Sus scrofa: one gene and its partner. The protein of the gene in region 1 interacts with the protein of each later gene in a pairwise test. Links are inferred from orthologs where the notes say so. Each region holds a gene or a part of one and is shown on either strand. Other genes may lie near its edges.

What was found. The genes of interacting proteins can lie anywhere in the genome.
Region 2: the proteins of TOP1 (region 1) and BTBD1 interact in a two-hybrid assay, tested with the Homo sapiens proteins (2 studies listed by BioGRID). The link is inferred for Sus scrofa from reciprocal best matches to the Homo sapiens genes TOP1 and BTBD1.

Annotation. Positions count from the first base shown.
Region 1 is NC_010459.5:43,788,537-43,794,836, forward strand, and holds part of TOP1 (DNA topoisomerase 1), read left to right. Parts: intron 1-82; coding exon 83-226; intron 227-1,273; coding exon 1,274-1,459; intron 1,460-2,464; coding exon 2,465-2,533; intron 2,534-3,199; coding exon 3,200-3,314; intron 3,315-4,351; exon of another isoform or gene 4,352-4,677; coding exon 4,678-4,805; exon of another isoform or gene 4,806-4,936; intron 4,937-6,300. UniProt on the Homo sapiens protein: Releases the supercoiling and torsional tension of DNA introduced during the DNA replication and transcription by transiently cleaving and rejoining one strand of the DNA duplex.
Region 2 is NC_010449.5:51,910,970-51,917,269, forward strand, and holds part of BTBD1 (BTB/POZ domain-containing protein 1), read left to right. Parts: intron 1-1,750; coding exon 1,751-1,943; intron 1,944-6,300.

The DNA.
Region 1 (6,300 bases):
ACTCAGAGCTCTGAACTTGGGTGTTCAAAGTCTTTATTCCACTATGCCTAAGCATTCTACTTCTGGGGCTGGGTCTTTGCAGGGTGAGAAAGACTGGCAGAAATATGAGACTGCTCGGCGGCTGAAGAAGTGTGTGGACAAGATCCGGAACCAGTATAGAGAAGACTGGAAGTCCAAAGAGATGAAAGTCCGGCAGAGAGCTGTAGCCCTGTACTTCATTGACAAGGTGATAGCATCTTCCTGTCACGTCACCTACCGTGTTCAGCTTAACAAAGGTGGAGGGAGCATTTACGCCTCCAGACCCCTGAGAAGCAGTGACAGCCCGTGGTCCCAGTGGTCCTCTTCACCCCATCTCTGGTCCAGTAGGGAAGGTAGAGATGGAGGAAGGTGATCAGTGTCTGCTGCTGTCTAGATATAGTCTTCCTAATAGGATTTTCATGAATCTGAATGCGCCAGAAATACTGTGACATTTTCAAACTGTTGCTGACATGAGGCACTCCCCAAATTTTATATCACAACCTAACACCCATAAACATATTTGTGTTGGTAGGTGTGTAACTGAAACAAAAGTTGCACAAAATGATGCTTGGCCTTTGCTTATAAGCAGTGAATTCTGGTGTTTTTCAGTTTCTTGTTTTTAAAAAAGGATGGTTATAACCCTTAAAATTGGTTAAACAATCTGCCAGTGTATCCCATCTGCAGTTTGCAAGACAGTTCTCTGGAGATGGTTTCTCAGCACTCTTTTGGAAGAAAAAGATTTCATATTTTCCCCCAGTTTTGTACTGTGTATGTTTATTTTAACACAAGTTCTGAATTGTCTTAAAAATTAAGCAAAATTAAGAGACTAGCTTTTTGAGCCTGATCGCCCAGAATTTTTTTTTAAAAAATGTTCTTTCTTCCATCCCCATTTAAGAGGACAGAGTAAAGAGAAACTTAGATTTCTGTATTTCCTGAGGTTCTCTTGTGGTGCAGCAGGTTAAGGATCCAGTGTTCCTGCATCTGTGTTGCAGGTCTCAGCTGTGGCATGGGTTAGATCCCTGGCCCAGGAACTTTCACAGGTGAAAGATGTGCCCCCCACCCCCCCAAAAAAAGTCCTTGATTCTCCATAATTCATTTCATAAGGGAAGAAGCAATGCAAATCCAGAGTTCCCAGGCCCTTGCAGACTGATGCTCTGTCTCCAAAGAGAATGGGGAGAGTTTCCTAGAGATCCTGTGAGATTCAAGTTTCTGCATGCTCATCTTTTTCTTTTTCCCTTCTTTCCTCCCTGGACAGCTTGCTCTGCGAGCAGGCAATGAGAAGGAGGAAGGAGAAACCGCGGACACTGTGGGTTGCTGCTCGCTTCGTGTGGAGCACATTAACCTGCACCCAGAGTTGGATGGTCAGGAATATGTGGTAGAGTTTGACTTCCTTGGGAAGGACTCAATCAGATACTATAACAAAGTCCCCGTTGAGAAACGAGTAAGTTAACATGGCCTGAGCTCCCTGGCCTGTTTTTTCATCCATTATTCAACAATCATTTTTTTGCCAGCTTTTCCTGTGCTCTGTGCTTTGCTGAACACTAGAAAAAAGTGACTTGAAAGAGAGGGAAGGGGTATTGTTTGGTGTCCTGTGTCCCTCCTTTTAGTCCTTGATTCTCATCATAAATTGCATGTAAGGTTTATTCCATCATGTTATTTTAATGATTTAACCACACTTCAATACCCTCTGGTCATGATGCACATATGTCAGCCTTGTAGCTTTCCTCAGCTTTCTCCCTACTCCTGATTCAGCCCTTGAGTCCCTGGATCTCTAAGTCTATAGCTCAAGAGGGTGCTGCAGTACTGCGGTCTCCCCAGCAGTATTGGGCTTAAACTAGAGACCTACAGAGTGCCAGGACCCCAGTAGTCTAGCCCATCAGCAGTCTGATGGTTCGTCAGTAATTAGATTTTGCTGGCTGTGGAAATGCTGTAGATTAAATGAAGCTAAAGAGATCTGACAAAATATCTGAACTTAGATTGGATTCCATACTGGGGAGGTAAAGAACATCATTGGGACAACTGACAAAATTGGAATATGGGCAATAGATTAGATAAAAGTATGTCTCAATATAAATTTATAAAGCTGATAAATACCATGTGTATAAGGGGGTATCTCTGTTCTTAGGTAATACATGAAATATTCAAGGGTAAATGGCCATAATATATGTAGGTTCCCAGAAATGGTTCACAGCAAATAATTGTGCATGTACACACATAGATGTAGAAGGAAGTAAGTATACATGTGCACTGCACAGATAGGAAGTGAGATAAAATGTTAATGGTAGGTGAATCTGAGGAAAAGATACGGTGTTCTTTGTGGGGTTTGTTTTTTATTTTCCTTTTTTAGCTTGCTAGCTTTTGTTAAGTGATTATTATTTTATAATAATTACTATTTTCAAAGTAAAGGTTTTAAAAATAATAATAAGGCTCTGCTTATTTCTTTTAGGTTTTTAAGAACTTACAGCTATTTATGGAGAATAAACAGCCTGAGGATGATCTTTTTGATAGACTCAATGTAAGTGGACAGAGTGCACAGGGTTGCAGAGGGGCCCGGCCAGAGCCTCCCAAGCTCCTTAAAGGAGAGGTCTTCCTGAGGGTCCCTGGGGCTCTCCCCTCAGCCTGTCCTGGGGCATCCTGTATACCCTCTCTCTCAGGCACACAGCAAATCCATGGTTGAAGATCCGGTGGGGGTGGGAGGTGGGGCGTGACCCCTGCCCGTTATCCTCCTCTGGCTCCTGCAGAACTGTTCCTTGGCTGGATGTTAAGCCACCTTTGCCAGAGACCCAAGTTTTATGGATTGCCGACAGGGGCTTCCTCTCTGCTCTAAAAATACCTGCATTTTGTGTTTTATATCTGTGATTTTAAAGCTCACAGAATGAAGATACAGTACTGTGATGTTCTGTTAAATTGGAAAGAGTCTCTGAGATCTTAATAGGGAAGGTACATTTGCTTTATTGGCCTGCTTAAGATTGGAGTGCTTCTTAGGGAGATACTCTGTATTCTGGAATTCTTTTCCCTTTTCCTGACCAACCCCCCCCCGGGGGGGGGGGCAGAGCAGTGAGCTTGGCAAGGTTGTGATGGCACTGGCATAAATATCTAGAGCTTGCCAGAAAGGCCAGGATGGTATGGCTTTTACCTAAATCCCATCGGTAAAAGCCTTTTGTTGCTTTGTCTCCCCCAGACTGGTATTCTAAATAAGCATCTTCAGGATCTCATGGAGGGCTTGACAGCCAAGGTGTTCCGTACATACAACGCTTCCATCACGCTACAACAGCAGCTAAAGGAACTCACAGCTCGTAAGTACTATTTGGCTAGACAGGGCCCACAGCCTTAACTAACGCTGTCCAGTATCTTATGCAGCTAAGTTGTAATTCTGCTTTTCCTCCTTGACATTGTGACTGGAAATTCCCCCCCCCCACACACACACACTTCTAACAGAGGGCTAAGGCTTAGTTGTGTAAACGTAGAACAGTGCTACTTGCCAAATTTCTACTCTAGCTTCTAGATTAGTTTTATGGATTGCCGACAGGGGCTTCCTCTCTGCTCTAAAAATACCTGCATTTTGTGTTTTATATCTGTGATTTTAAAGCTCACAGAATGAAGATACAGTACTGTGATGTTCTGTTAAATTGGAAAGAGTAAAGTTGTCATGGTTACTAAAACAACATAGTGGCAAATCCCTTCCCTGAGGTGTCTGTCCTTTTTTTCCCCTTTAGAATAGATAGTATTCTCCTAAAAACTAGCTGCAGATGGTACCACCAAGATCTCCAAGCTTTCTTCCGTGAAGTCTAGTCACTGCTAAATTTCCACTGTCCTCTAGAAATATTTCAGATGGTATTAGAAAGTGGCAATCAGGGGTTCCCTAGTGGCTCAATGGGTAAGTTAAGGATCCAGAGTTGTCACTGCTGTGGCTCAGGTTGCTGCTGTGGTATCAATTCGATCCCTGGCCTGGGAACAGCTGTGGCCAAAAAAAAAGGAAAAGAAAAATGGTATTCAGAACATCAAAGATGGGTATGTTGATGGTATTTTATTTTATTTTTTGTCTTTTCTAAGGCCACACCGGCGGCATATGGAGGTTCCCAGGCTACGGGTCTAATCAGAGCTATTGCTGCCGACCTATGCCAGAGCCACAGCAACATGGGGATCCGAGCCCGTCTGCAACCTACACCACAGCTCACGGCAACACCGGATCCTTAACCCACTGAGCGAGGCCAGGGGTGGGACGCGCAACCTCATGGTTCCTAGTCGGGTTCATTAACCACTGAACCAGACAGGAACTCCTGTTGACGGTATTTTAGAGAGGGATAAAGAATACTATATGGCACAAAAACACTTCTTGGATGACACTTTTTATTTTTCTTATTGAAAGATACAGTACTTTGTGGTTTTAAAATGTAAAATTTATAGTGCCTTTGTCTTACTTTCCTCTATACACTTTCTCTGTCCCAATGCCATATTTTCTTCAGGCTACTTTGAGTGGTTAGATGGGGGAGCACTGAGGCAAGCAGATGATTCTGTTGACTCAGATTCTGACCTTGTGCCAACTTGAGCTGATCATCTGCGCTAGATGAGGACCAGTTAATAGTGAGGATGAAGCACTGGGTATTATTTCTTGTTATACACACTGACTCTTTTATTACCATGTTTCTTTCTTCACAGCTGATGAAAACATCCCAGCAAAGATCCTATCTTATAACCGTGCCAACCGAGCTGTTGCAATTCTTTGTAACCATCAGAGGGCACCACCAAAAACTTTTGAGAAGTCCATGATGAACTTGCAGACTAAGGTATCTTGGATCTGGATGGCGGGATAGCAAAATGAAGAAAACCGTATCTGCTGTGGGCATTTATACTCCACCCTTCTGAGCTGGGGTATTAGACGGCCAGTTCTGGGTCCATTCTAGAAGAACGGTTCATGCTAAAGATAAAAAAATGGAAATATGATAGTAGTTACCTCTAAGATACTGAGTATCAAGTACTCATTGTTCAGGAAGTCTATTATTTTGTGGACAAAAGTTCTACATTGACTACTTCCAATTTTTAAAAGCTAAATTTGATGTACCTTCTTTGATATAACTGCTAATTGTTGCTTCTATACATGAGGATAATAGATACAAAGATATCTTTACAAATCATTTCCACAGCTCAGAACTATTAACTGTATCCAAACTGGATTGTTTAAAATTGAAAAAATGATGAAACAATGATGTTTAATTTCCCCTAATCCTAGCATAACTATTTTTATTTTTACACATGCCACATGAATCACATTTTTATATAGCTCATCATCAAACATCTGTTGAATACCGGCTGTGTGCCAGAGCTGCTGACCTAGAAGAGAGACTTAGGTGCAAACAACTAGATGCTGTTCCTCTTCCATGTGCCTCTTTCCTTCCTCTGACTCTGCCTGGTACTGAGCTTTGAAGCTGCAAGGCACTTAATATTTGATGATGATCACTTCTGTGTTAGCAAACTAATCCATTCTGATGTACTAACCCACAATGAGAATTTGCAGCTATTTCACCACAAAGCAGACACATGGATTACAAAGTAAATCAATTATTTTGAAAATGTATTTACCAAAAGCCCAATAAAGTGATAGATGTGCTTCCTCACTAATTTACTAAATAAAATCTTAGGTGGGTCTCATAATTATTGTAAATGTCAGGGTAGTAATAATGATACTTTGATTTCAGCAACAATTGTAATATGATATGAAAATATATGTACCATCTATTGGTGACAAAATCTGGAGTTCCCGTTGTGGCTCAGTGGTTAACAAATCCAACTGGGAACCATGCAAGTTCCATCCCTGGCCTTTCTCAGTGGGTTACAGATCCGGCGTTGCCATGAGCTGTGGTGTAGGTTGCAGGCGCGGCTTGGATCCCGAGTTGCCGTGGCTCTGGCCTAGGCCGGCAGCTACAGCTCCGATTAGACCCCTAGCTTGGGAACCTCCATATGCTGCGGGTGCGGCCTTAGAAAAGACAAAAAATAAAATAAAAATATTGGTGACAAAAGCATAGTACTACTGATATTACAGTGGTGGTTGCTCACATTCACAACCAAAGAAATGATGAGTTTCAACTAAAGGTAAACTAAATTACAGATTGATTCTTTTCCATCTGTTCACAGAATTCTATACTTGAACTGGAGTTTAAAAACTGCTGGAGGAAGTTCCCTTGTGGCACAGTGGGCTAAGTATGCAGCATTGTCACTGCAGTAGTTCAGGTCACTGCTGTGGTACGGGTTTGATCCCTGGCCCGGGAACTTCCATGTGCCATG
Region 2 (6,300 bases), on another chromosome or scaffold:
TTGCTAGAATTCCCAAAATGGGACACAGAGACAAAGTAAGCAAATGCTTTTGGAGAAATAGCAACAGACTTGCTTGACAGAGTTGCCACAAACCTTCCAATTTGTTTAAAAATGTAGTATCTGTGAGGCATAATAAAGCAAGGTATACCTGTAGTCTTAAATTATTGCATTATAAAGCAAGGTATACCTGTAGTCCTAAATTATTGCATCATCCTATTTCTTGCTGTTAGTTCTTCAGGAATACTAGTTACCTATATGTTGGTCTCTGTTTTTTTTTTTTTTTTAATCCGTTTAATCACCTTAAAATTTTAATTATTTTGTCTTCTTGTCATTCTGAGAAAGTTATGAGTTTTTATCTCTGTCTTTTGATCTTATGCACTTCCAGTTCTGTTCTTTCTTTGCTAAAATGCATGGTTTTAAGTTTGTAATTTTATTTTTTTTCCTCTTTACAATCTTTCCTTCTCTAGAGATTGCAAATGAACTATGAGGCCAGGCCTGGCAGATCAGTAGATTTTGTGTGTCGCATTTAAATGTTTTTTACTTTAAAAATGAGGGCATTTTACATTAAATCTGATTTATGGCTTCCTAAATCAAATTTCTAGAGTTCTGCAGTCTTTTTTTAGATCATTTTTATTAGCCTTGGATGGGATCTCCTGTCATCTTTTATGAGGAGCAGTATTTATTCCTGGATAAATGTAAGCTGTCTGGAATTTTCTCTTCCCAGAAACAGTGAATGAGAAAACTGTAACATAGGATATACTGCTTCCACAGCTCTTCCAATATTAGCTCCTGCCCTCTGCTGATTTCTAAATCCCTCAGTGGAAGCACTGTACCATCTATTTCTACCTCTAAATATTCCATCGTTTGATTATAGCCTCAGACAGATGGGGGTGGAGAGGTAACGATAACTCTAGCTTCCACTGTGAACATTTCTCCACCTCTTCTCTTTTTGGTAAACAGAATATTCAGAGAAGGTGAGTAGATAGAAAGATTTAGAGATCTGGAGTTCCTGTTGTGGCGCAGTGGTTAATGAATCCAACTAGGAACCATGAGGTTGGGGGTTCGATCCCTGGCCTCGCTCAGTGGGTTAACAGTCCAGCGTTGCGGTGAGCTGTGGGGTAGGCTGGTGGCTGCAGCTCCGATTGGACCCCTAGCCTGGGAACCTCCATATGCCGCGGGAGCTGCTCTAAAAAGGCAAAAAGACAAAAAAAAAAAGAAAGAAAGAAAAAGAAAAGATTTAGAGATCTTTCTGTGATCTCAGGGATTCATCTAAGCTTTGATTTATTAATGATTTTAACACTTACATATTAGGTTAACCTCAGATGAATTTGGTGAAACTTTTAAATAGATGCTAAAATTATGTATGTTCGAGTTTTCATCGTAGCGCTGAGGAAATGAATCTGACTAGAAACCATGAGGTTGTGGGTTCGATCCCTGGCCCTATTCAGTGGGTCAGGGATCCGGCGGCGTTGCCATGAGCTGTGATGTAGGTCTCAGACATGGCTCGGATCCTGCGTTGCTGTGGCTTTGGCATAGGCCGGCAGCTGTAACTTCAGTTCAGCCCCTAGCCTGGGAGCTTCCATATGCTGTGGGTGTGTCCCCAAAAAGTAAAATAAAACAAGGTAAAATTTCTCTACCTCATTATTACTTTACACTTTCCAGATTTGAGTTCATATTATTATGTGGAATAAAAAAGTTAGGAGTTGCAATGAAGTAGCTTTAATTGAGGTTTATATTTTTATTTGTACAGGTCCTGCTCAGTCTGGAATTCTGTCAGATCGTGAAGTAGTAAATCTCTTCCTTCATTTTACTGTCAACCCTAAGCCCCGAGTTGAATACATTGATCGACCAAGATGCTGCCTCAGAGGAAAGGAATGCTGCATCAATAGATTCCAGCAAGTAGAGAGCCGCTGGGGTTACAGTGGAACAAGCGATCGAATCAGGTATCTGTCTTATTATAGACTTGGGGTGCGGTGGGCTAGTAGTTAGCATTTGGCTTTTATGCTCATACTGTGGGAGAAAATTAGCCACATTTTATTTTATACTTTGTTTAATATGTTTCTAACTTAGGACAGTAGTCAGGGAGTCAGTGAGGCTTATTTGTCTCCCCACTGAATTATGAGTGAGGGGATCTCTTAGGAGACATTAGAAAGGATCGAATTGGGCCTCCTTGTACATGAGTTTTGTTTGGATTGCCACTGTTGGTGAGCTGAAGTCTAGACCTTGATTGATCAAAGACTGTTTTTACAGTCTTAGAGCTATAATTTAAGACATTTAATCTTGCTCTGTTTAGTGTGAGTTTTTTCTTTGTACAGACACTGCATGGAAAATATCTTACTATACGTTTGTAACAACTTTGAATGGAAAAAATTTAAATCTTACAAGATGCATGCATATAATCCTGGTGGAAATGATATTTCCCCTACTGTGTTTCCTTAGGTTAAATATTGAAATAGAATAAGTACTTGTTTACATTTTTTAAAAAATGCCTTTTTTTCAAATGAACTTATTTATAAAACAAAAACAGACTTAAGATCTCAAAATCAAGTTTATGGTTACCAAAGGGGAAACATGGGAGAAAGGGATAAATTAGGAGTTTGGGATTAACAACTACATACTACCTTAAGACAGGCCTTTTGGATTTTCACTTATTTAGTATTAATAGCACTTTGGTATAAAATGAGAAACTAACAACAAATTTGTTTAAAATTAGAACTCCAGGGAAGAGAAAACTCTTAGAAATATTGAGTTAAAATGGAAATAAAAATGCGTTTGTAGAATATTTAGTAAGGAGAATACTATAAATGAAAACTTGGCGTTCCCATCGTGGTGCAGTGGAAACGAACCCAACTAGGAACCATGAGGTTGCAGGTTTGATCCCTGGCTTTGCTCAGTGGGTTAAGGAACTGGCGTTACTGTGAGCTGTGGTGTAGGTCGCAGACGCGGCTCAGATCTTGTGTGGCTGTGGCTGTGGCGTAGGCTGGCAGCTGTAGCTCCAATTAGACCCCTAGCCTGGGAACCTCCATATGCCAAGGGTTCGGTCCTAAAAAAGCAATAAATAAATAAATAAATAAAAGAAAACTTATGGGATGAGGCTATAAGTGTCACACAGAGAATTAGCAATAATGGGGGGGGGGGGTGGTCATGGCCAGCAGTGGCTTGATGTGGGATCTCACTCCCCAGACCAGGAGTTGAACTTGGGCCACTGTGGTGAAAGTGCCAAGTCCTAACCACTAGGCCACCAGGGAACTCCCAATAATTAACTACTTTTACTAAGTAAGTTAGAATAGAAATAAATGATGTAAGCATTTAGTCCAAGAAGCTGGAAAATGAATAGCAAAAGAACCATAAGAAAAGAGAAAGGAAATGGAGTTCCCACTGCGGTGCAGTGGGATCAGTGGTGTCTCAACAGCGGCAGGGATGCAGATTTGATCCCCAGCTGACACAGTGGGTGAGGGATTTGGGATTGCCGCAGCTGTGGCGTAGGTCACAACTCTGACTCAGATTCAGTCCCTGGCCCAGAAATCCCAGGTGCAGCAGGGTAGCAAAAAAAAAAAGAAAAAAAAAGAAGAAGAAGAGAAAGGAAATAGATAAATATAGAAATTAATGAATTAAAAATAGAATTGTTAAATCCATAAGCCGTTTTCCTGGAAAAAAAAATGAAATAAGTAAACCTCTGACAAAAATAAAAAAGAAAACATACATTTGCAGATCATAATGGGAATATAATTATATACTGAGGAAATTTTTATTTTGATTCTGGGTTTACTCTGTGCTAATAAATTGAACATCTTGATGGAATGGATCATTTTGTAGGCAAATATAAATTATCAAAATTGACTGAAGAAGAAACCTGAATAGACCAATTACCATGGAAGAAATTAAAAGTTATCAAAGAACTGTCCCTTCAAGGTGGTTTTGACAGGTGAGTTTTATCAAACCTTCAGGGAACAGATTGTTTCCTTGAGCATTAAAAGAAGAAAAATACTTCTTGGTTAATTACTGAAAGAAGCATAACCCTTATACAGAAACCTGACAAGACAAAAAATTTTCTAGGTCAGTCTCACAGGAAGGAATTCTATGTAAAATAGCATATTGAATCAAGCAGTACCTTAGAAGAATAATACTATAAAAGCAAATAGAATTTATTTGGAAATGGAAAGAATGGCTCAATACTAAGAAATGTATTACTGTAATTCACCATGGTAGCAGGTCAAAGAAAAAACCAGTTTATTTCAATAGGTGTCAAAAAGACTTGATAAAATTTCACCCTTGGTCCCGCTATAGCCGTTAATAGGCTAGGTCTAGAAGAATACTTCTTTAACTGTTGAAACCTCAAAATAGGGATGCCTGCTAACCTTGCTGCTTTTTCAGCAGTGTTCCTATAATTCTGATTGATGTAGTTGTAAGGGATAAAGAAATGAGAGCATAAAGGAAAAAGAAATCTTGAAAAGGAAGAAGTCTTTTTCATTATTTGCAGATAACGTTATTTACATTAGCAGTTCTGTACTCCATCAGACCTAGTTCTCTCTTTTATAATAAATATTTTGTATTCTCCCTGTACTAACCTGGGATGAAATTCATAGATAATATATTTCATTGTTAAGTGATATAATGACCTAGTTGTAATGTAAAGGACAATAAATGTAACTGATAGTAAAATGAAATACATATTTCAGTAGGTGGATATTTGTGCAGCACCAGAAGACAAACAAGCAAGCAGTACACACCAGCCCGCCTAGACGGCTACAGTGCAGGGTGTGTTCATGTCGCAAATTCCATGAGCAGCACTGCTGGCAGTTTTGTCATTTTCTTTAAAGGTTTCAAATAAAGCAAAGTACAATAAATCCTATTCATCCACTTTCTATATTTGAGGACTCATCTACTCAGTAAAATTTATGGTTAACCTCCAGATCAATACCAGCAATGCTTTCTCAGTTGTTCACAGGAAAGATCTGAGTTGTCCAGCCGCATGTTCTTTGTGAGATCAAACAAGGCAATCCTCTGCCCTCCTATTTGAGCTCTCCTACATAGACGGAGACAGCGGCGGGCAGTGTAGTGCAAGACACTGCAGCTCTCGAGCTGTTTGGATAGGTTGAATCCCAACTCTGGCATGTGTTAGTGGGGTGGCCTTATGCAAATCACTTAACACTTCTTAGTTCCATCTTCTCTTTTGTAAAATAAAACAGAATATACTAGAATGAGATACTTTAGGATTTAAGATTATAATCCATATAAGTGGGGGGGGGGTGTGTGTGTTTATGTACATAGTCCCCCTAAGAACAGTAGTTTAGTGTTTGCTAATTCTGTGTCAGCAGCAACTATAGACTATAACTACCACAAATAATGAGCATTACTGCATGTTATTTCCTCTGTTTATAAAACATAATAGTTGCCTCTTATAAAAGTCAGTAAATACTAAAATTGCCTAAAAATCTTTGGTTTATAAATAAAATGAAATTAGGCTCAAGTCTTGTAGTTAAAAACAAGTTTTTCATCTACGTGAATTCTGACAAGACACTTGAAAGTTAATTGGGATTCTTCGTTTTGGGAGACTGTCTTGAGTATTGCAGTAGAGCTGGTGTCCCTATCTCCCTCCCGGCAGCTCCCCATATCCTAGTGGAAACAGCAAGCCTCCTTGGAGCTAGGACTTCTTTTGAGAGCAGCTAGTCCACCCAAACAGCCTCAGGATCAGCACAAATCTGTTAAAACCAGTAAAAAGGAATCGTGGCCATTTACAAAGTATAAATGCAAAAACCAGTAATGTCCTGTATGTTGTCAGAATTCAGTTACAGAGATGGGTGGTGGTGAATGGTTATCAACGCAAATGTACTTAATGCCATTGAATCGTATATTTTTTATATATTTTGCCACAATAAGAAAATTTTTAATGTTTAAATTTTCAGTTATGTTGAGTAAAAACAGATCCCACTTGTTTAACAGTAACAACATAGACTAGCAGGATTATATCCTATAGGAAATGTAGAGTATGGTATCTGTATAAAGAACTGAAGAACTTCAACCAGAATCAGATAGTGTCTTTCAACTAACTTCCGTATGTTGTGCAGTTCTTTGTAGAAGTGGCATGTTTTTGGAAGGGAGGGAGAGGGTTGGCAAAATTATTCTAAAATTAATCTATAAGAGTAAATATTTCTTTTTTAAAAAGAGTGGTATGGATCAAACTTTCTGAAAAGTATTATAAAACTATAATAAGTTAATAGAATACTAGCGTTCAGGAACCAACCTAACATAAATGAATATTTAGAATGTGAGGGAAGGATTAACCACCGGGAAAATAAA